3 linked regions of the Anolis sagrei genome follow. The main gene of each other region encodes a partner of the protein of the gene in region 2 in a complex. Links are inferred from orthologs where the notes say so. Each region holds a gene or a part of one and is shown on either strand. Other genes may lie near its edges. The genes, in order: CASK, NRXN1 and LRRTM2.

What was found.
Region 1: the proteins of NRXN1 (region 2) and CASK are in contact, whole or in part, in a crystal structure (PDB 6NID), measured with the Homo sapiens proteins. The link is inferred for Anolis sagrei from reciprocal best matches to the Homo sapiens genes NRXN1 and CASK. Residues at the interface, in NP_001317021.1 of Homo sapiens: Lys468, Glu469, Tyr470, Tyr471, Val472; in NP_001354650.1 of Homo sapiens: Pro500, Met501, Gly502, Ile503, Thr504, Leu505, Lys506, Ala516, Arg517, Val549, Gln553, Leu556.
Region 3: the proteins of NRXN1 (region 2) and LRRTM2 are in contact, whole or in part, in a crystal structure (PDB 5Z8Y), measured with the Homo sapiens proteins. The link is inferred for Anolis sagrei from reciprocal best matches to the Homo sapiens genes NRXN1 and LRRTM2. Residues at the interface, in NP_001317021.1 of Homo sapiens: Leu139, Val158, Thr160, Arg236, Gln237, Leu238, Thr239, Ile240, Asn242; in NP_056379.1 of Homo sapiens: Asp343, His344, Gln346, Gly347, Glu348, Leu351, Asp352, Ala353, Gly356, Phe357.

What each region holds. Positions count from the first base shown.
Region 1 is NC_090023.1:77,990,793-77,998,611, reverse strand, and holds the start of CASK (peripheral plasma membrane protein CASK), read right to left. Parts: upstream 3,028-7,819; 5' UTR 2,407-3,027; coding exon 2,348-2,406; intron 1,972-2,347; exon of another isoform or gene 1,925-1,971; intron 1-1,924. UniProt on the Homo sapiens protein: Multidomain scaffolding Mg(2+)-independent protein kinase that catalyzes the phosphotransfer from ATP to proteins such as NRXN1, and plays a role in synaptic transmembrane protein anchoring and ion channel trafficking.
Region 2 is NC_090021.1:18,711,079-18,718,582, reverse strand, and holds the start of NRXN1 (neurexin-1), read right to left. Parts: upstream 3,035-7,504; 5' UTR 2,734-3,034; intron 1-2,733.
Region 3 is NC_090021.1:140,758,577-140,766,450, reverse strand, and holds the start of LRRTM2 (leucine-rich repeat transmembrane neuronal protein 2), read right to left. Parts: upstream 3,030-7,874; 5' UTR 2,525-3,029; coding exon 2,521-2,524; intron 2,234-2,520; coding exon 687-2,233; 3' UTR 1-686. UniProt on the Homo sapiens protein: Involved in the development and maintenance of excitatory synapses in the vertebrate nervous system. Regulates surface expression of AMPA receptors and instructs the development of functional glutamate release sites.

The sequences.
Region 1 (7,819 bases), on a different chromosome or scaffold from region 2:
GGAATTCCAAAAATCCAAAATTGTCCACATGGAAGGCTGAAAAAGTGACATCTTTGTGTTCTGGTGGTTTTATGCACACAAACTTAGTTTCATGCACAGCATTATTAAAAATATTGTTTGAAGTTACCTTCAGGCTATGTGAACATGGTATATATGAAATATAAATGAATTCTGTGTGTAGACTTGAATTTCATCTCCAGGATATCTCATGTACATACAATATATACAATTGTAAATATTCCAAAATCTGAAAATATAAAAAATTCAAAACACTTCTAGTTGTACGCATTTCATATAAAGGATATTGACCCTGTATTACCAACAATAGTAGGGACCAACAACATAATTATATTTCCAAACAAACCAATAGGAATTTCTTACTGATGTAGATATGATTCTGACTAAATGTTGCCATGTATACAAACATTGCTCTAATAGCCAGAATTTTAAAAATGATTGAAACTGGGAAGAACCTGGAACACAAAAAACATAAAGCATTTTTAAAAGCAGGAGTTTGGCAAAGGATGTTAACAAGATCACATGTATCCAACTTCAGCTACATGAAATTACATCTTTGGAAGAAATATTACAACAATCTTGCTACAAAATATTTCTCTCATACACCCTCTTGCAGTAACAAGTCATTTTTCATTCTGAATGTAACAATCATAGCAGAAACAACCAAAAATGTTTTCCTTAACATTTATTTGCCCTTACAAAATCATAATGGCAACAAACTCACTTAACTGCCAAAACATCTTCAGATGGATACAAGGTAAAGTTATTCAGCTACTAAAGTGATACAGTAGATGTCTACTACAATTTTTATTCTAGCACAAAGAGTCCCAGATCTCCCACTATGATACAGTTATTGGGGAAGACAAAAAACAAAAACAAAAACCTCTGCTTTCATCTCCTTCAATTACCAAGCTTATTTGGTTTCCCTCTCCAAGACAAACCACTTGGCCTGGCATTTTCAAACCGCCTGTCAAACTGGACACTCCAGGTAGCCTGAGTGGCAGTTCAGCCAACCACCCTTGCAACTTTAGTTTTCTGCAAAAGTGGTTGTTGCCTTTGAAAGGCCTTCCAGCTTTATCCCAACTGGGGGTGCATCTGCATAGTGTAACTGATGCAGTTTGACAACACTTTAACAGCCATGGCTCGATGCTATGGAATTATGGGAGTTGTCACCTTACAAGGTCTTTAGCCTTCTCTAGTCACTCGCCAAACTACAACTCCCACAACTCCATAGCGTTCTGCCATGACAGTTAAAGTGGTGTCAAAGGGAGCTTCCACATAGCTGAATAAAATCCCACATTATCTGCTTTGAACTGGAATAAATGGCAGTGTGGGCTCAGGGCCCTTCCACATAGCCATATAATCCAGAATATCAAGGCAGAAAATCCCAGAATACTTTAACTGGGTTATCTGAGGCCCCTTCCACAAAGCCCTGTATTCCAGAATATCAAGGTAAAAAAATCCCACAATATCTGAGTGTGGACTCAGATAACCCAGTTCAAAGCAGATATTGTGAGATTTTCTGCCTTGATATTCTTGGATATAGGGCTGTGTTGAAGGTCCCTGTGTCCACACTGCCATATATCTCAGAGAGATGTGGGATTTTATTCAGTTGTGTGGAAAGGGCCCAAGATAACCCAGGGTCCTTCCACATGGCCCTATATCCCAGAATACCAAAGCAGAAAATCCCACATTATCTGAGTGTGTACTCAGATAACCCAGTTCAAAACAGATATTCTGGGATATAGGGTTGTGTGGAAGGGCCCCTAGTTCAAAGCAGATATTGTGGGATTTTCTGCCTTGATGTTCTGGGTTACATGGCTGTGTGGAAAGGCCCAAAGTGTGTCACCTCTACAGTGTGTATGTATCCACGGTGGGGATGGGAAAAAAAGCACCCGAGTATTACCTGAGTGTCCTTTATATCGCCGCTAACGAGCCGGTTTGATGATGCAGCAGCGCCCAAGGAAGGCACCTGGCATTGGTAGGAGGGAGGGAGGGAGGGAAGGAGAGCGAGGGGGAGGGGAGCCGAGGAGGAGAAACACACCCCGTCCCTGCCTTGTCTACCTTGTAGGAGAGAGAGAGAGAGAGAGGAGGAGAAGCCCCGCTTTGCTGCAGGAGCCCCGTTTAATCATGGTGGCCGGAGGAGGGGGGAGAGAGGAGAGGGCTCCCTTTCCCCAGGTGGGAAGAGCCCCGAGCGGTTCCCGAGGATCCTTCCTTCCTTGCCCCCCTCCCCCCGCGCGGTCGGGGAGGAGGCTTTGCAGCCCACCGCCGCTCCTCCCTCCGCGGCTGCCTCCTCCATCTCCCCTCCATGGGTGCCTCTGCTACTTACTTGCCGATCACCTCGCAGAGCTCGTAAACGTCCTCGAAGAGCACATCGTCGTCGGCCATGGTCCGGCGGGGGGGAGGCGAGCCGCCCCAGGGCGGGAGGGGCCGCGGGCACGGTCCCCCTCCTCCTCTTCCCCCTCCTCCTCCGCGCTCCCCGCCGCCGCCGCCGCGCTAAAATCCCGGCCAAATCCTCCAATGGCCGCGCTAGGAAAAGCCCCCCTCGGTGGCCGCTCCTTGCGGTGGGCCGCAGCCTTTCCCCGCGTGTCCCTCACAATTCCCGGCGTCGTCGTCTTCTTCCTTCTTCTTCGCCTTCCTTCTTCTCACCTTTGGCCGCCGGGGATTAATCCATGGAGGGGATGGAGACGGAGGATGAAACCGCGGCAGGCAGGCAGGCAGAGCGAGCCCCTCATTCGCTCCCTTCCCCCGCTTCTTGTCCACACACACACACACACACACACTCACTCCCTCCCTCAGTCACTCACACACTCGCTCCCTCCCTCCTCGAAACGAGAGAGAGAGAGAGAGAGCGCGCGCCCAGGCGAAGAGAAAGGCGCGGCTCCGTCCACGCGCCACCCCAACGCCGTTTGATGAAGGGAGAAACACAGAGGGAGACAGGGTGCGTGCGCGCGCGCCTGCGCGTCACCGCCGCGGCCGCCGACACCTTTCTTATCAGTCACGCAACCGCCCAGAGCCAAGCATGCGCGCGCATCCTCCCTTTACGTTAGAACGCGCGCTCTCGCGCTCAGGGCTAAGTTGGGGAGGGGAGCAGAGCTGGCTTTTTTTTTTTCCTTCCTCCTCCTCCCTCCTCCCTGCTCCGAGCAAAGCCACGCCCACAACTCCCCTCACGGGGAAACGGCGAAGAGTTTGTACTGCGCAGGCGCGGGGGTTGTTGACGTCATTTGAACGGGGAAAGGGAAAAGGAGAAGGTTTTCCTTGCGGTCGGAGAGACTAGCGGCAATGCTGGGGCTGAGAAACGGCAGGGCACATAGGCATTGCGTTGAAGCTCCTCTTTAGTGTCCGACAGACTTCACAATCTGAGGATGCCTGCCATAGATGCAGGCGAAACGTCAGGAGAGAATGCTTCTGGAACATGGCCATACAGCTCGAAAAACTTACAGCAACCCAGTGATTCCGGCCATGAAAGCCTTCGACAACTCATTCTCCTCTTTAGCCTTTTTTCTTTTCTGGATATAGCCATATTTGAATCGCCTGAGGGCTGAGAAAAGCGGTATAGAAATAAAGTAAATAAATATTGCACATAGTAGATTGACACTGAGCGGTGTCAAACGGCTATTATTCATTTTGTCAAAGGCTTTCATGGCTGGAATCACTAGGTTCTTGTGGTTTTTATTGGGCTATATGGCCATGTTCTATTTATTATTTATTTATTATTTATTTACTGTGCTTATATAGCGCTGTTCTCAGCCCGGGGGCGACTCACAGCGGTGTACAACATAGAGAGGACAGGGTGCAAATTACAAGACACAATCTAAAATCAATCCAGCAATAACAAAAGCATCGTCATCAACAACATCAACAACATCAATATCAATAATACAAAAAGCCATTCGCATAATCTCATCGTTACACCACAATCCAGTATTATATTCCGTCGTTCCATTCCTGTCGTCATTACCAATTATTGGATTTCTTGTTCGAACGCCTTCTTGAACAGCCACGTCTTTAATTTCCTGCGGAATATCATCGGAAGGGGCCAATCTGATGTCCACGGGAAGGGTGTTCCACAGCCGAGGAGCCACCACCGAGAAGGCCCTATCTCTCGTCCCCACCAGGCGTGCCTGTGAGGCAGGCGAGATTGAGAGCAGGGCCTCCCCGGATGATCTCAAAGTCCTCGTGGGCTTATAGGCCAAGATGCGGTCAGAGGATGCTTGCCATAGATGCAGGCGAAATGTCAGGAGAAATGCCTCTAGAACATGGCCATATAGCCTGAAAAAACCCACAAGAACCTTATTATTCATTTATTTATTTACTTACTGCATTTATATGCCGCCCTTCTCACCCTGAAGGGGACTCAGAGCGGCTTACAAGATATATATATATATATATATATATATATATATACACACACACACACACACACACAAACAATATGTTATATTATTAAAACAGCACTATCAGTGTTACATATTACTATATTGTACTATACCATTATATTGTAATATTATTAGTAATATTACATGTAATATAAAATATATAATTATAATATTGCATTATTAGTAGTATTATATTGTATTACATTATAGTGTTATAAATATTATATGTATATACAATATATTATCTAATCCAGGTGAAAGAAGAAAGTACAAAGGCTTGGTTGCAGTTAAACATAAAAAAACCAAGATTATGGCAACCGGACTGATTGATAACTGGCAAATAGAGGGAGAAAACATGGAGGCTGTGACATACTTTGTATTTCTAAGTGCAAAGATTACTGCAGACGCAGACTGCAGCCAGGAAATCAGGAGACGCTTCTTGGGAGGAGAGCAATGACCAATCTCGATAAAATAGTGTTTTGGACTATAAGCGGCTGAGGGGGCAAAGGAAAGGGCCTGAGGCTGTGAGGAATGGTGGGAGTTGAAGTCCAAAACACCTGGAGGGCCCAAGTTTGCCCTTGCCTGATCTACACTGACAATATAATGCAGTTCCAAACTGCATTATATGACAGTGTGCATCCAGTGTGCATCCAGCCTATACTTGACAGTGTGCATCCAGCCTGTGCTTGACGTGGTTACACTCCCCCTGAAGGCGCAGATTTGCAGCTTGGGAGTGATCCTGGACTCATTGCTGAGCCTGGAACCCCAGGTCTCGGTGGTGGTCAGGGGAGCTTTTGCACAATTAAAACTTGTGCGCCAGCTGGGCCCGTACCTTGGGAAGTCTGACTTGGCCACAGTGGTCCACGCTCTGGTAACATCCCGTATATACTACTGCAATGCTCTCTACGTGGAGTTGCCTCTGAAGACTGCCCGGAAGCTGCAATTAGTCCAAAGAGCGGCAGCCAGATTACTAACAGGAGCGTGGTACAGGGAGTACACTACTCCTCTGTTGCGTCAGCTCCATTGGCTGCCAATTAGTTTCCAAGCGCAATTCAAAGTGCTGGTTTTGATTTATAAATCCCTAAACGGCTACGACCCAGTTTACCTGTCCGAACGGATTCTCCCCTACGAACTATCAAGGTTGTTAAGATCTTCTGGAGGGGCCCTGCTCTCGGTCCCACCACCTTTGCAATCGTGTCTGGTGGGGACGAGAGACAGGGTCTTCTCGGTGGTGGCCCCTTGGCTGTGGAACTCTCTCCTGATGGAGATTAGATCTGCCCCTTCCCTCCTGACTTTCAGAAAGCTAGTGAAATCCTGGCTCTGGGGCAAAGCATTCTCAGAATGATTGGCGTCAACAATAACCTAATAACTACTGACCACACTGGCGGACTATGATGAATGTGATTTTATCTTGTCGATTTGGCTTTATGTATTTATTCTGTTGCTATTTTACTGTATTATGATGTTATGATGTTATTAGTTTACTTGTGTATGCATTTTCTGTTAGCCGGCCTGAGTTCCTCTGCGGAGGTTGAGAAGACTGGGATATAAAAGTTCTGAATAAATAAATAAATAATAAATAATAAACCCTGTTTGGGCAGGCATGTATACCAAAAATACATGGAAGGAATGTAAAAGATAGTGGAAATGCAAAACATGTAGTAGCAATATCTGTCAATGCAAAACATGTTGGAATGGTGACAACTACCGGTTTAACAATGATTGTGATGAGTAGTTGAAAGGACATAGTTGGGAGTCAGGTTTTGCTCAGATAAACACATGTAGACCGGAGGAATGGCTTTTACCTAGTGAGTTGGTATGTGTGCAGGGCCTGTAAAATCTTGTCATAAAACAGGTGTGAGGAGAGTATCTTTGCATATGTATGGCTGTGATGAAAGCTGTAATGTTTTAATATATGTAGTGTGTCAACAAACCATTGTTTATGGCTTGGAATTTATTGATACATCCTAATTCAGCAGTTCTGCCCATTGGAGAGAAGGATAGTAGAGGCAAAGATGAAGTACTTTGGCCACATCATGAGAAGAAAGGAAAGCTTAGAGAAGACAATTATGTTGGAAAAAATGGAAGGAAAAAGCAAGAGGGGCTGACCAAGGGCAAGATGGATGGATGGCATCCTTGAAGTGACTGGATTGACCTTGAAGGAGCTGGGGGTGGTGACAGCCAACAGGGAGCTCTGGCATGGGCTGGTCCATGAGGTCACAAAGAGTTGGAAATGACTGAACGAATAAACAACAACAAATTCAGCGGTTTCTCTTTCCAGGCTTCTTTTAGTTTTTATGCACTGCACAAATTGTCCAAGCAGGTTGAAATGCTCTGCAACTGGTATATTTTTGTAGTTTATTGTTTCCATTTCTAATATCAGATATACTGTATTTACTTGAGTATAATGTGCCGTCGAATTTAATGCACACCTCAATGATTTTCAGTCGAATATAATGCACCCAGCAGTAAAGGCATAGTGAGTCAGGAAGGCAGTCAGCATGAATGAGGCCATTTGGGAAGCTATGTCTCTGTCAGGCCAAGGCTGGTGAACTCTTCAGCCTCACACAGTTCCCAAACGGCCTCATTCTCAAGGCCTTCAAAACCAAGGGGGAGGTTTTGAAGGCCCTGGGAATGAGGCTATTTAGGAAACGTGGGGCTGAGTCTCAGGGGAACAGGCAAGAGCTTCCAAGGGTAATTTGAGAAGCAGGTTGCTTACTTCTCCTTTGGCCACAGTGGCCTGAAAGCTGCACAGCCGCTCTGTGGCTAAGGGACTGGGTCACTATTTGGCTGCACATCCTTCTCCAGGCACCACGGAGCTCTGAGGCCACCCCCAGGAACAGCCTTTTAGAGTCCTTCCACACAGCCCTATATCCCAGAATATCAAGGCAGAAAATCCCACATTATCGGAGTGTGAACTCAGATAACCCAGTTCAAAGCAGATAATGTGGGATTTTCTGCCTTAATATTCTGGGATGTAGGGCTGTGTGGAAGGGCCCTTAGTCTCCCCTTCTAGACTCTGGAGCTCTAGCTTTCTCTGGGCCTTTTCACGCAGGTGGATTTACATGTATGATTCTAACACTCCATTGAATCTAATGTGTACCTCAGTTTTGGTGATGCCATTTAGTAAAAACATGCATAATGACTGTCCTGATTATGCCAGGAAATGAAGAGGGGGTATTCCAGGCATGGGATGGCATATATCACATTGAAGGATGAACAGGATATGAAACAACTGATAATATTAGACAAAAGGCCCTTCCACACAGCTCTATGTCCCAGAATATCGAGGCAGAAAATCCCACAACATCTGCTTTGAACTGGGGGCCCTTCCACACAACCCTATATCCCAGAATACCAAGGCAGAAAAATCCCACAACATCTGCTTTGAATGGAGTTATCTGAGTCCACACTTAGATAAT
Region 2 (7,504 bases):
CCTAAGACAAATGTCAAGATGGTGCTGGCATTTGTGGGTGTTTCCATATAGATGGGTGTGTGTCTGCAAGCATGATAAAGGACTCTGGAAAGTGTTGTGTTGCTGGGCAGGTGAACTGCAGGGATGGATAGGATTGTGTTGCTCTCTGTGTGTTTCTGCATGGAACAGACAAAGGTGAGAGAAATGGTGTTGAAAGCAGTGCAGGGTATAGTAGAAGTGTATCCTCATTAAGCATGGAACTAATTACAGCAGGTGTCGTAATGAATGTCTGGGGGTCATTGTGTCTCAGATTTGCAGGATATGGATTCAGCATATCGGAAAGAGAGATGTGTGTGTGGATATTCTTGTTTCAGGGAGGTGATTTCCATTATTTTGCAGGTTTGCAAAAAAAGAGGGTTATAAAATTGAACTGTGTGTAAGCAGAAGGTCCATATTGGAAAACAGATACCTTGATGACATTTGTTGTGCATGGAATGGAGGGAAGAGGTCTTGACAGTGTTTTTGGGAAACTTCCTCACTCAGAACCTGTATGGCTTTGATGAGAGGTGTGTTGTTGTTGTTGTTGTTGTTGTTGCTGCTGCTGCTGCTGCTGCTGCTGCTCTGTGCCTGTGCATTGTAGATTTATTGTGAAAGGCTTTGGGGCTGCGGGAGTTGTGTGCTCAGTGCCAAAGCATTCTGGTTGTTTTATTTGTTATTATCACAAAAATAGTCTTTAGTTGGTATCAGGTGAGCTGTGAGCACCTTTTCTTATGTGTGTGTGTGTTATATGGGGATAATGTGTTTAGATTTTGGGTTGTTGTGAGTATTCTGGGCTGTATGGCCATGTTTCATGTTTCCTGACGGTTCATCTGCATCTGTAGCAGGCATCCTCAGAGGTTGTGAGGTCTGGACTGTCTGCCATTGAGGCAGGCAAAATGTCAGGAGAGAATGCTTCTGGAACATGGCCATAGAGCACAGAAAACTCAACAACCCAGTGATTCCAGCCATGAAATATTTTGATAATACATGTTTAGATTTCAAAAGATATAGCTGAAGATTGGCCAGACAAAAATGGGGGATCCACCTTTGCAGAGGGAAAGTGTTCACTTATTCTGCCTTATAGAAAGCCAAGATCTCTCCAAGGTTATATGTGCTTTCTTTGCTTCCATGCACAGAGGCATACAAAACACACAAGTCAAAAGGGAGGAGTGGATGGCAGATGTGCCCCTACAAGTGTCAGCTGGGAGAGCCACTGAGATTAGGGGGATCCCTCTACAAGATCCTCCTTAGACAACATCATGGCCACCCCCTTTCTCTCGCCCCCTCCCCTTTCTCTCTTCCTCCTCTCATGCACACAGACCCACACACGCCACAAGAACCACGGAAATGGGAAAAATACATTTTTAAAACCCTCTTGCTAATTTATTATGGCTGATACAATGATAAACAGCACCCACTGTCTAGCCATTGGCAAAACAAGTGAAGCTGATCCATCAGGGAAGGTGGACTGGTGATTTGCCATGCATGCTTTCAAAGGGATCTGGGATACATACATACATATATATGTGTGTGTGTGTGTGTGTGTGTGTGTGGTTTTCAGAGAAATACTAAACTCTTCCCTGTTTAATACGAGGGGAAACCAGACGCCAATACCTTATTCCAAGACTAGCTTACCTATCATTACTGTTATTGTTATTAAAATCACGTTTTGGTCACAGGTGCCCCTGCTGAGCTATTAAACCAGGGCGGAGTAACGAGGGAGAAGGAAAGGAAGAGAGGAGAAAACAAGGTGGATGTGTGGATGGACCTCGAAGACAACCAACCCTTCATAAAGAGCAGCTCGTTTTGTCGACTGCCCAGTTTTGGCAGCATCCCTCTCTAGTCTCCATAGGATTTTCTCCCGATGCGGGAAAGACCCGGAGAACATACAAATTACAGCTTGAAATAAAAAAAAATACTAATAATGGGAGGGAACAGGGGGAAAGGGGAAAAACCCACCACAGACAACCTTTTTGCTGCAGCCGGAGAGCGAAGTGCTTTGATTCCAAAGCGATTCCTTGACACCAGCAGCCTTCCACTTATTTATTTATGGTTGTTTAGCGCCCCCTCCCCCTTCCTGGCTCTCCTGGATTCCTATTTCCAGCATCAATTGCTCCCCTTTGCTTTTCTGCAGGGGGTTTGGTGCTTTTTAAAAAAAGAGGGGATGAGAAGAAGGAGGAGAGCGTGTGCTTGGCTTGTTTATTGTCCCTCTTCTACCCCAAGAGAGCAGAAAAAGAGCAGCGGTTGCATTTCAGCCTGGTATTCAAACCTTCCCCAAAAATGAGGCATCATCAGGAGGGATTCAGAGCAGTTAAGAGAGGAAGGAGAAGGGGAGGAGGAAGGGGTTCTGCTCAACGCCGTTCCCCATCTATCTGTCTTTAATGAAACACCATATAGTATCCACTTCGCCACCATCCTTTCCCTCTCCCCTAAAATGGAGAGGGGACATTGGGAGAGCGGATTCCTCTTCCCTCCCCAAGCCTGAATGTTGAAGCAGTGGCAGCCAGATTCAGGTCCTCCTCCCTCCGCAACAGACCTCCCAATCGCTCAGAAATCCCAACAGATCTCCTGGCACATCCCTCCTTGGAAAATGCCAGCAAGAAGCCGACCCACCTCCCTTGGCGCATCCTTGAGAGGCGCCCCCCCCCCCTTTTCGGTCCAGCTGAAGGGGTCTCTGCCCTCCCCCTCCCCACCCTCCTCCCTGCTTCCTCTCACCTGTCCCCTCCCCAAGCCGCCTCTTTACCTGCGCGGCCGCTTTGCCTCTCCTCCTGTTCGCCTGGAAGCGCGGCTCTCCGGGAGACCTGCCTCGGCCAAAGCGGGCGGCCCCTTCGCTCCTCGGGAGAAGGAGGAGGCGGGCAGGGGAGGAGGAGGAGGAGGAAGGAGGAGGAGGAGGAGGAGGAAGAGGAGGAAGGCGGAGGAGGAGGAGGAGGAGGGCGGGCGGGGGGGAAAGTGCCATCCGTTGCCTTTTCAGCAGCGTCAGGCTGGGTCTCCTCTCCCTCTCCCTCTCATTCCAAGAGTCAGGGCGGAGACGAGGGAGGGAAAGGAGGGCTGGCGGATCCCCACGTGACGCGCGTCGGGCGCTGCCTGTCTGCAAGAGGAAGGCGGAGCCGGGCGGGCTACAGCCGCAGCCTGGACGGCCACCTCGCCCTGGGCCACAGCCTCCCTCCCAGCCGGATGAGGAGGAAGGAAAGCAGGGAGAAGGAACCCGCTTGGGAGACAACCTGGGCCGTGGGTTATCCTTTCCTCCCTTTTCTGCCCCACATTGAGCCCACTCTGACCCCTCCCTTCAAAGCTGGTGACGTGATTCTCTTTCTAAACACCCCCCCCCCCCCTCTTTTTCATTCTCTCTCTGGGATCCAAGGATGCTGCTCTGGCGCTGCAGGTGTGGCGAGGAAAAATAAGAAATGGTTTCCTTCCTTCCTTCTCTCTCTCTCTCTCTCTCTCTCTCTCTTCTCTTTTCCCTTCCCTGCAAAAAGCAGAAAATGTCCTTCACCTCTTCTTGCTTTGTTTGTGCAAATAGGTCCAACTTCCCCATCTTTCCCCCCTTTCTTCCCCCCCCCTCTTTTTTTAGAACGACACAAGAGATTCCAAGAATATGCTAAGGGTGCTGAACACAGACACAAACTCTCCTTGCCTTTCCCAGCATCTTAGGGCCTCGCCGTACACACGTGCGTGGGAACACGTGTCAGGAAAGGGTGTCTAATGTATACGGCAGCCCCTTTGATCCGGAAGGGAAAGGTGTTCTCCTCCTCCTCCTCCTCAACGTGGCCCCTCCCCGAACCCAGCATTACTTGGTGGCTCCCTATGGAGCAGGCAATCTGCCGCGGAACTGTCCAAGGTGCTGAAGCCTTGGAGGGAGGGGAAAGGGATCAGCACCTTGGAGAGGTCTCTTTCCCTCCTCTTCGTCTAACTCAACCTGCTGCCAGAAACCTCCCCAGTTTCTTCTAGGTGCTTTGGGGTGCAGAATAAATACGTTGTGATACTACTTTGACTGCCAAGGCTTAATGGTATTGCATTTTGGGAGCTTATTTATTTATTTATCGTGTCAAGAGTGAACCAAATAGTTGTATTACATTAAAAACAAACAAACGAAACACAGAGTTTGCAAACTTGGTATTCTATTAAATGTCCTTCGACCAGTAGTTGGCCACTTGGAGTGCCTCTGGTGTTGCTGCAAGAAGGTCCTCCATTGTGCATGTGGCAGGGCTCAGGTTGCATTGCAGCAGGTGGTCAGTGGTTTGCTCTTCTCCACATTCGCATGTCGTGGATTCCACTTTGTAGCCCTATTTCTGAAGGTTCACTCTGCATCTCGTGGTGCCAGAGTGCACTCTGTTCAGTGCCTTCCAAGTTGCCCAGTTTTCTGTGTGCCCAGGGGGGAGTCTCTCATTTGGTATCAGCCATTGATTGTGGTGCTGGGTTTTCATAGGATCATAGAATCAAAGGGTTGGAAGAGACCTCATGGGCCATCCAGTCCAACCCCCTGCCAAGAAGCAGGAATATTGCATTCAAATCACCCCTGACAGATGCCCATCCAGCCTCTGTTTAAAAGCTTCCAAAGAAGGAGCTTCCACCACACTCCGATGCAGAGAGTTCCACTGCTGAACGGCTCTCACAGTCAGGAAGTTCTTCCTCGTGTTCATATGGAATCTCCTCTCTTGTAGTTTGAAGCCATTGTTCTGCGTCCTAGTCTCCAAGGAAGCAGAAAACAAGCTTGCTCCCTCCTCCCTGTGGCTTCCTCTCACATATTTATACATGGCTATCATATCTCCTCTCAGCCTTCTCTTCTTCAGGCTAAACATGCCCAGCTCCTTAAGCCGCTCCTCATAGGGCTTGTTCTCCAGACCCTTGATCATTTTAGTCGCCCTCCTCTGGACACATTCCAGCTTGTCAATATCTCTCTTGAATTGTGGTGCCCAGAATTGGAATAGGTCCTGCCACTTTTGGACTCTCGCTTGCTGAGGTGTTCCAGCGAGTGTCTCTGTAGATCTTAGAAAACTATTTCTTGATTTAAGTTGTTGGCATGCTGGCTGATATCCAAATAGGGGATAGGCCAGAGATGTCACTGCCTTGGTCCTTTCACTATTGGTTGCTACTTCCCGGTGGATGTCAAGTAGTGCAATACCGGCTAAACAGTGTAATTTCTCCAGTGGTGTAGGGTGCAGACAACCCTGTGATAATGCAGCATGTCTCATTAAGAGCCACATGCACTGTTTAGGCACGGTGAGCTGTAGTTTGGTGAGGCAGCAGCACTCTTAGTCAGAGAAGGCTAAAAACCTTGTTCAACTACAACTTTGCACTTGTGCTTTGCTACTCTGCTGCTGAGTAAGCAAGCCCAGTTTAGAACACATCTCACCATGCTAAAACAGTGGATGTGGTTCTTAATGTGACATGCCACATTATCACTGGCTGTGTGTGCCCTACACCACTGGAAAAAAAATACACTGTCTAGCTGGTATTGCACTACCTGACATCCACTGGAAGTAGCAGCCAATAATGAAAGGACCAAGGCAGTGACATGTCTGGCCCATCCCCTGTTTGGATGTCAGCCAGCATGCCAATGCCTTAAATCAAGAAATAGTTTTCTAAGATCTACAGAGATACTTGCAGGAACACTTCAGCAAGTAAAAGTCCAAAAGTGGCAGCCTAAAACCCAGCACCTGAATCCATGGCTGATACGAAATGAGAGACTCCCTCCTGGGCACACAGAAGACTGGGCAACTTGGAAGGCACTGAACAGACTGCGCGCTGGCACCAAGAGATTTTATTTATTTATTTATTTATTTATTTATTTGCAGTATTTCTATCCCACCTTTCTCAGCCCTGAATGGGACTCAAGGTGGCTTTACATATAGGCAAGTATCCATTGCCTTGACACAATATATAATTAAAATAAACATTTAAATTAAAAATTAAAATTAATATACATTCAAATATTTTAAAACATTATAATAACTATCAAAACCACATGATCCATAATCATAGTCTGGGGCCATTCCAGTAATCATTGCACATAATCCGTATCCATCAGTTCATCTACTGTACTGAAGGCAGTCTCTGAAAGCTTGATCCAAAAGCCACGTCTTCACTTTCCTTCTGAAGGCCAGGAGGGAGGGGACTAATCTAATATCACTGGGGAGGGAGTTCCACCACTGAGGGGCCACCATTGAGAAGGCCCTGTCTCTCATCCCGACCAGTCATGCCTGTGAGGAAGATGGGACCAAAAGCAGGGCATCCCCAGATAATCTTAATCTCTGAGGTGGTTCATAGGGGGAGATATGTTCAGACAGGTAAGCTGGGCTGGAAGTGTTTAGGGCTTTTTAGACAAATGACAGCAATTTGAATTGTACTCGGTAGCAGACTGGCAGCCAGTGGAGCTGTACGCCACTCTGTTGAGCAACTTGGCTGCTGCCTGTTGAACCAATTGAATCTTCCATATAGTCTTCAAAGTCAACCCCACGTAAAGTGCATTGCAGTAGTTTATACAGGATGAAACAAGAGTGTGGACAACCATGGTCAAGTATGACTTCCCAAGGTATGGGCACAAGTTTTAATTGTGCAAATGCTCCCCTGGCCACTGCCAAAACCTAGGATTCCAGGGTCAGGTATGAGTCCAGGATCACTCCCAAGCTGGAGAACTGTGCCTTCATGGGGAGTGTAACCCCATCCAGCACAAGCTGTAATCCTATACCCTGTTTGCCCTTATGACTGACCAGGAGTACCTCTCTCTTGTCTGGATTCAATTTCAATTTGTTTGCCCACATCCAGACTGTCACAGCCACCAAGCACCGGTTCAGGACTTGAGCAGCAGGTGGAAAGGAGTGATAGATTTGAACATCATCTGCATACAGCTGATACCAAACTTCACAACTCTGGATTATCTCTTCCAGTGGCTTCACATAGATGTTAAAAACATGGGGGGCAGTATTGAACCCTGAGGGACCCCACAGGACAATGATTGCAGGGCTGAGCAGGTGTTCCCCAACAACACTTTCTGGGAGCAACATCCCAGGAAGGACCAGAGCCACTGGAAAACAGTACCTCTGAAACCCATTCCTGCAAAGTGTCCCAGAAGGATACCATGGTCTATGGTACTGAAGGCCATTGAGAGGCCCAGGAGAACAAACAGGGGCAGACTCCCCCTGTCAAGTTCCCTACGCGAATCATCTACTAAGGTGACCAAGGCTGTTTCAGTTCCATGTCCCAGTCTAAAGCCAGACTGCACTGGGTCCAAATAATCCTACTTCAGATCCAGACAATTAAATAATTTTAATTGTCTATTCCTTAAATTGAAGTATTATGTGGCAGATTGGGCTTCACTTAGCAAAACCAATTGGTTCTACAAAATACCTCCTGTTGGAGAGTAAAAATATATTTTTAGATTTTCTGAGGGTGGACTGTCCTAGAGACCTTATCACTATACCAACAAGGTGGAGCCAGGAAGGCGGAGGGGGGGGGGGGATGGAGACAAGGAAGAAATAGCAATTTC
Region 3 (7,874 bases), about 120 Mb from region 2:
TATATAATCTTGGTTTATTCAGAAGTGTCAACAGCTATATTCTAGATCTAGAACAAATTTCAATAAGCTGAATTCTCACTGTGGAATTTTAGAAAACAATATGGGTTTTTTCCCCCCATGCTTCGGTACATAGCAAAATCCCTCTGCTGAACTTTACTATTGTATATCGTAAATTTGAGAATCAGCTTTTGAAAGGGGGAAAATGTAATTTAACCTTTTCTGTTAAATCTCCACTTAAGAGAAAATTGAGTCAACTGAAATATTGGGGATCATAACTACAGTGCATCACTTGGCAAATGTCCTTCCTTCACGGAGACCTGTAAATATACCTAACAGCGCCATTTCATCCAGACTATTCATCTACCTCAAATCTGGAGGCTTCAGAGTAAAAATCTTACACATAGAATTACATAACATGAAGCAGTTTACATATTTTGGGTTGAGCATATTTAGACTTCCAAACATCAGGAGTGCAAATTTAATGCAAACATTGCTGATTTCACATTGAAAATATTATGGGTTATTTAAGAAGAAAAACACTTTTAAATACTGCATCACTCAAAACAAGTAGCCTAGAAAAATCTAGGCTTTTTCAACATTTCTTTTTTTAAAAAAATTAATAGTTTTGGATCCCTGCAATTTAAAATAAGTTTTATCTGCTTTTGTTTTTTGATTACCTGTAGATATTACACTTCACATTCTTTATAGGGTAGTTGCTGACACTTGCACTGTCCATAACCATTAATGATGATGAAAGGTCCTTCATGGGTGGGTTCATATTCATTATATGGTCCTTGGTCTGACATATTTGACATATGTAGCCGTGTTTGAGATCGCAGTTGCCTGTGGCTTTGAATCATTGAGCACTGCCTAATTTTTCTTAATGTGGGAGGGCAGCACTTCCTGGAGATGAACACTACAAAAATGATAAAAAAGAAAGAAAATAATAAAGCCATTGTTCCTGTAATTACCTGCTGAGTGAAGATGACATTGTTTGGTTCAGGCAACTGATCTTCTGTCGTAATAGGTATGCCTGTAGTAGTTGAAATTTCTTTGTCTCCCACATGGAAATTTGAGGAGCTTATCCTTTTTGTATATTCAGTCGTTGGAGCTCTGTAGCTTGTAGCAATGGATGTAAGAACAGTTGATAAATTCCAGCAAAGCTGAAAACCATACACTGCATCTAGAATATCCTCTCCCTGGGTGTGGTTTGGGCTATGACAAAGTATGGAGTGCTCCCACCGACCTTGGAAGCCACTCAGCCATGTGGCTAATGAACATATTTTGGGGCTGCATTCCCAAGGGTTGCTGGAGAGGCCCACCGTAGTGAGGGTTTTAAGTGAATATAAAACCTTGGATTCCAGAGTGATTAGTTTGTTGTTATCCATTAGGAGTACTTTAAGATTAGGCATTATTTCAAAAACTGTCATATCAATGGCTTTGAGATCATTTCCAGACAAATCTATCTTTTCTAGAGTGACCCAGGTCCATTCCATCCCGCAAGTCAAGTTGCTAATTTTATTCCCCTGCAAGAAGAGCATGTGCAGATTGCTTAGCCGTAGGAAATGAGCAAAGTTAATCTTTGTCAGCTGGTTGTGCTCTAGGTGAAGCTCCCTCAGTTTGATTAATCCAGCAAATCCATTGCGTGCCAAACTTCGCAAACGATTTGTGCTCAGATCCAAAAAATCCAAACTACGACAGTCTGAAAATAGACGGACTGGTATAGTCCTCAGGGAATTGGAACGTAAACTCAAGGTTTGCAGTTTGCGAAGGCCATAGAACAATTCAGGATGCAAAGCAGATAATTGGTTGGAAGAGAGGTCCAAATGTTGCAGGTTAAGCAGTTGGCTAAAAGTTGTGTTTGGCAAATAAGAGATTTTGTTTGAACTTAAAATTAATTCCTTTAGTTTATACAGTCCTTGAAAACCATCTTCTCTTATTGTATCAATTTGATTATGGTCTAAATGAAGCCAAGTAAGTTGACTGAAGCTTGCAAACTGATCCCCTTCAAGTTCCGTAATAAAATTGTGCCTCAATGACAAACCTAGACAGCCCTTGTCAGTGGTGTTTGGCACTGAGTGAAACCCCTGAGAGTCACAGTAAAAGAGCAGCTTCTCACAACGGCATTTTGGTGGACAAGCCGTGCCCAAGGCAGGCAGCATTTTAAAAACAATACTCATTGCATATACTGCTGCCAGCACAGGAGTCCCTAATGGCCACTTGAAATGTAAGCCTGCAGAATATAGTTCAAGGAAACAACAAAATAGGATATTCTTATCAGATAAATGCTCACAATAAAAAACGGAAAAAAGATTGCAGCAGGTAATGACATGCATTAATGTGCTGAGGTCTTTACGCTTTAAATAAATCTGCTATGAAATTTGTCTAAATTATTGCAATTATTGACAAATACTACCTAGTTGCATTTTTAAAAAAAAAAACATTAAAATGCTATTTCTACCTCTTTCTAAAGTAAAATTGACTGCACATAATACAGCAAATCAAAATGTATAAACTTACCCATTCTTTTGAGTACGTTGGAGGTTTCATTCAGTCGTAGTTTTAGACTCAACACAGTGAGTCTGTAAAAAGCTCTAACGTTGACAGCCTTTGAATAATTTACATCTACTGTCTTCCGCTATTAAGAGTAAAAATGACTTCACATCCCATTGTCATATATTCCTTTTGAATTCATTTCCTTGATTTTCAGTGACAGCTCTGCAAATTCCCGAATCAGTGCTGAACTGGAGTTCTCTGTTTTTGTTCTGTACAGCTGTTTAACTGCAAGCGTTTTCCACAGCTATGGCTTTTTTGTCGTAACTTGTTGATGGCAGATGGGTGGCTTATTGCTGAGAGAAGCTTCTATAGTCGCTTGAATGCATTTGCTGAAAAGCTTTCAGGGATACGATACAGGAACGCATTTGCTTATGTGCTGCGACCACACAACTGTATATAGGCTGACGTCATCTTGTGACGTTCCTTTTTGTTTGGGTTTTCCAGAAGCTTTGCAGTTTAAGGCACTGTGGTGCATACTGCGAATTGTGAGATTAGACTACCACTAAGAGGAAAAACCTAACTAAGAATTCTTCATTTGGTATCCAAGGGATAGAAGTGACTTTGCAAGAGTCTGTCTTGCAGATTGCATTCTTACAACTTAGAATTGTATAACTGAATTTCTGAAAACCAGCCACATTACAGATTTTTCTGTCATAGTTGTCCTGTCGATGTTCTGCTTGATATTTGGGGGGGGGGGGGGTTCGTTTGCTAATTAACAAAGCCTGTCAGGCAGAGCCATGTGGGATTTTAACTTCAAAGGGGATCTTTCTTGCTATAAAAGTTTATTTCTAGTTTAAAAAGAGGGAGATTGCTGGCAATAGATAGATGGTTTTGCTAAGCATCTTGTGAAAAAAAATTAAATCAAATCCAAACATTTTAACCAGTAGTTTTTCACTTTATAACTCTTTTTTAAAACTGCTGCCAGGGCTCTATTGTTTCCACATCTGATAGTTCAAATCAGATTAGAAAATAGATAAAGGTAATTCAGTGAAAGACAGGATGAAAAAATGTATAGGGAAAGTAAATGAATGGGGATGGTACACATTTTCTCTTCCTGATCAATTTAAGGGTTTTGGTTTTTTTTAAGTAATCTAATCTGTACTGCACCACCAAAGCAAATGTTAGTTGTGTGACTTTGTTCGGTTCAATTGTCAGATTGTATACTCCCTTTTTTTGATGCAAATGATTCCTTGCAGTTCTACACACAGCTTAAAATTTCCATCTAGAAATATTTTACTTTCTATTTTTTAAAACTGGCGTAAAAATGACTCAAAAGGCTTTGTTATACATATTCTTCCATTGTGAAAATATTAATAAAAGAGACAAAAGGAGTAAATCAGAAGAATTCATATTTAAGCTATAAAGCAAATAATGTTCGCTGTTGGAGTACTTGCAGTTCAAATACTGGTAGATTCATTCAAAGTCAGATTTCTTAGTGATGCATGGAGTAGTAGAAATCATTTCCTTCCTTGCCATTCCTGGCACTTGTTTTGGCCCTTTGCCAATTCAGTTTGATATCCTAAAGTGTTTAAAATAAAAATGGGCTGTAGCAGGATTCAGAAACAATTTTTGGTTAAAGTATATATGTTCGGAAAATATAAGTTAATATTATTTAAATATTTTGAGGTCTGTGGTGTAATTAACACCAGTGAAATCAGTTGAATATTAATGAACATAGGTCATCTCCTTCAATTACATTTTCAATTAAAACTACAATCCAAGTACAACTATGAGATGATGGTACCTCTTCTAAAAGGTTTCTAAGACCAGTTGTCATGATTACAATGTTCTAGAGCAATTGTTTATTTCCTTTCACATAATACAGTGCGTCTTTGGTATCCATAGGAATGTGGTTCTAGGTTACCAAAATCCATGAATGTTCAAGTCTTGTTAAATCGTTAGGGTGGTGTAGAGAGGGAGCCTCCCTCCCTCTCTTCATCAAGCCAAACATACCAGGAATAAAAACCACACAAAATCAGTTAACCCAAAGTTCCTCAAAGCGAACAAGAGCAAAGCAAACAGCAATCTCCCAAAGCTGACGAGAGCACAAGGCACAGAGACTACTCTCTTGAAGCCCTAATGCCCTGTACTCTCACACTTGCGCCCCCAGTGGTGCAATGATTGTGCCGATAGGACAGCTGACTCAAAGGTCAGTGGTTCGAATCCCGTCTGTCAGCTCCAGCTTCCCATGTGGGGACATGAGAGAAGCCTCCCATAGTATGGTAAAACATCTGAGTGTCCCCTCGGCAACATCCTTGCAGACTGCCAATTCTCTCACACCAGAAGCGACTTGCAGTTTCTCAAGTCACTCTTGACACAAAAAAGTGCTCCCTCTGGCACTAGCTCTTAACTCAAAATGCTACCTTTATGTCAAAGCAAAGCCCAGGCCGAATGATAACCCTTAACTCAAAACACTCTTAAGTTGGGACATGCGTATGTAGAGGTTGTACTGTACTGTGCATTTCTTCCCTGACATATTCAAGGTTTCAGATGAGGGACCTTATTCGACTCCCAAGTTTAAATACTTGCCTGATAAAGAATTATATGCAGATGAATGAGTTGATGGAGGCTTTGTCCCTCTAAAACTAGGATACATACAAGCAGACGGTGCTCCTCATAGAGTTGTTGTGGCCTGCTACTGGAGTCATTATTCTGCTGCCAGTGGCCATTAGACTAGTAGACAAAAGACACCAGACATTAAAAAAAACTTTTTATATACAAGACTGGGATAAACATGGTTGTGTGTGTTTTTGTGTGTCTGGTATATCATATGAGCAGATCCTGTGTATCCATTTAAGATAACAAATGAATAAAGAAAATGGCTACTCTACTTCTGCATTGTACATCTGCTACTGCACTCATCAAACTATATATTCACTTAGGTTTAGAGGAGTAGTATGCTCATGTTGACATGCATGTAAAGAGTTTATGTGTTTAGGATAGATAATAGGCCTTTATTCAATTCTAATATTGCTTATAGGCTAGATTCTTTCCCAAAACAAGTATTGGCTAAATGAGTGTACTTCTATTATTCTGTACTGATGGGTAACAGGTAAGGAAGTAGATACGCTTCCTTCCTGTAGAGCAGTGGTTCTCAACCTGTGGGTCCCCAGGTGTTCTGGCCTACAACTCCCAGAAATCCCAGCAAGTTTACCAGCTGTTAGGATTTCTGGGAGCTGAAGGCCGAAACATATGGGAACCCACAGGTTGAGACCTACTGCTGTAGAGGAATGTAGGAACTTGTTCTTTGTTCTTGCTCAAAGCTGTTTCTATTTTTTGAGGAATTGAGTTGTTACCTCCTCTAAAATGTCTTAATCTAGTGAAATAGTTCCTTTGTGGAGGAGCATTTTAATACAGCCATAAATGTGTGTTTCTAGTTGAGTGGTTGTATACAAAGCCTTGAAGCAAATGATATGGTTATGGTTATACATATCTTACATCCCCGTTGGATTACTGTACCATATTCTGTGTGGGACTGCCTCTAGAAACTGTTCAAAAATATTAACAGGTCAAAAGTTTTGTAGCTTAGCTGTTGACTACGGCTGGTTACAGGAAATATATTATGCCCCATCCCCATTGTAATGGCTTCATTGGTTATCTGTTTGTTTCGGGACAAAATTCAAAGTGTTCATTATGGCCTTTAAAGCCCTGTATGGCTTAGGTCTATATTGTCTGGGGGGAAAATCTCACTATATACAAAACAACATACTTTACAATTAAGCAACTATTTAAAAAACCCTGCAAATTACCTACTCTCTGCCTGATGGTTGTTATCCCTTAATAGTCTGCTCCCTTTAAACAATAATGTTAATTATACTTTTACTTAAAATGACACTCTACTCATTCATGAATCCCTAAGTCGATAAATGCCTCAATTAGCATTGTTGTAAAAAGCTAGCCAGCAGGTCACAGTCTTTCTTGAACTTAGTCAAAGATTTATCCTTCAATTGTGCCTCAATAATACAATGGTATGGTTGCTGATGACACGATAAATAAATAAATAAATAAATAGTCAATTTGTTCATTTCTGTTTCACAGATTTTCATCTGGGTATTCTTGCATTGGTAAAGCTTTTTTCCTCCCACTTCTGAGAATATACCATTCTTACAGCAGTTGTCATATATTGTAACATTCTCCTCTAATTTTTCTTTTTGAACGAGTATCCTGTATTCCCAACGTTTTACATTTAACCTTGACAAGGTATTTCAACATTTCTGGGCCTTTCTCACTACATGAGATTAAATGCCCCAAAATTGTCCTTGTATTTCCAATATTTGGTAGAACTGCCCTTATTTGACAACAAAGAAGTCTTAGAAATCACTACTCAAAGCAGTGTTATCTCTTTCATCCATACCTTCCATTGTTTCATTTGAATTTGTGTGGCAATATTTTGAACTGGGGATTTTGAGCCCATATGATAGTACAGTATTTTACTTGATCCCTCTTTATTTCATATTTTAGCAACCCTTTATACATTTAGCCCTAGATCCTGCATAAAGAAAAGGGTCAAATAAATATGGAAATAGGAGCCCATTTTATATCTCTGTAGGCTCAATCATTTCTGTGTTTCAGTTGGGATAGGGATATACATATTTTATTTCACGATCTATACAAATCCATAAAGCATATTGGTGCAACACACCATTTAATCAGCAGTATCTATGATTCTACTGTAACATCTTCAATTTTTTGCCAATATTGTAATCTCACAAATTGTTTTATAGTGGACAAGTCAGAAATGTTGTAAATCAAGCAGGGCCATGAGTCTGTTTGCTAATGCCTATGTGCACATACATCCTATTTCTGGATGAGAGTAGAGCCCTAGTACTCTTCATCCCTTGAACGCTCTCAAATACAGTGGAGGGGTAAAATAGCCATTAAGGCAAGGCTTTGAGGTATAGGTAGAGTGTTCAAATTCCCAAAGGCAGACGTTTTATCAAGAGTGTTTTACCGAATGGTATAGTAAAACAGTTTGCTACATGTTCATGTTACAGTCAGATACAATAAACAATGAAAGCAGGCACACTTGCACACTTACTATTAAAGCATATTCCCCCTAGTCCTTATTTCTGTGCATTCGTATATTCTGCTTGTTTTGTTACTTATTCAACAGATGTCTTTTCAGTACAACATTGCCACCTTGGCATGCTACCAGTACCTAGGATGCTTCCTGAGTGCTGCCATTCCATCTATTTCCCATGCATTTCACACCCACATGTGGCTGGCACAGGGCTTTTATGTAGTGACGCTACATCACCTCCTCTCATGCCAAGATAACAACATAAGCAGTCTTATTATTCTGTTGCATTGCAGAACCC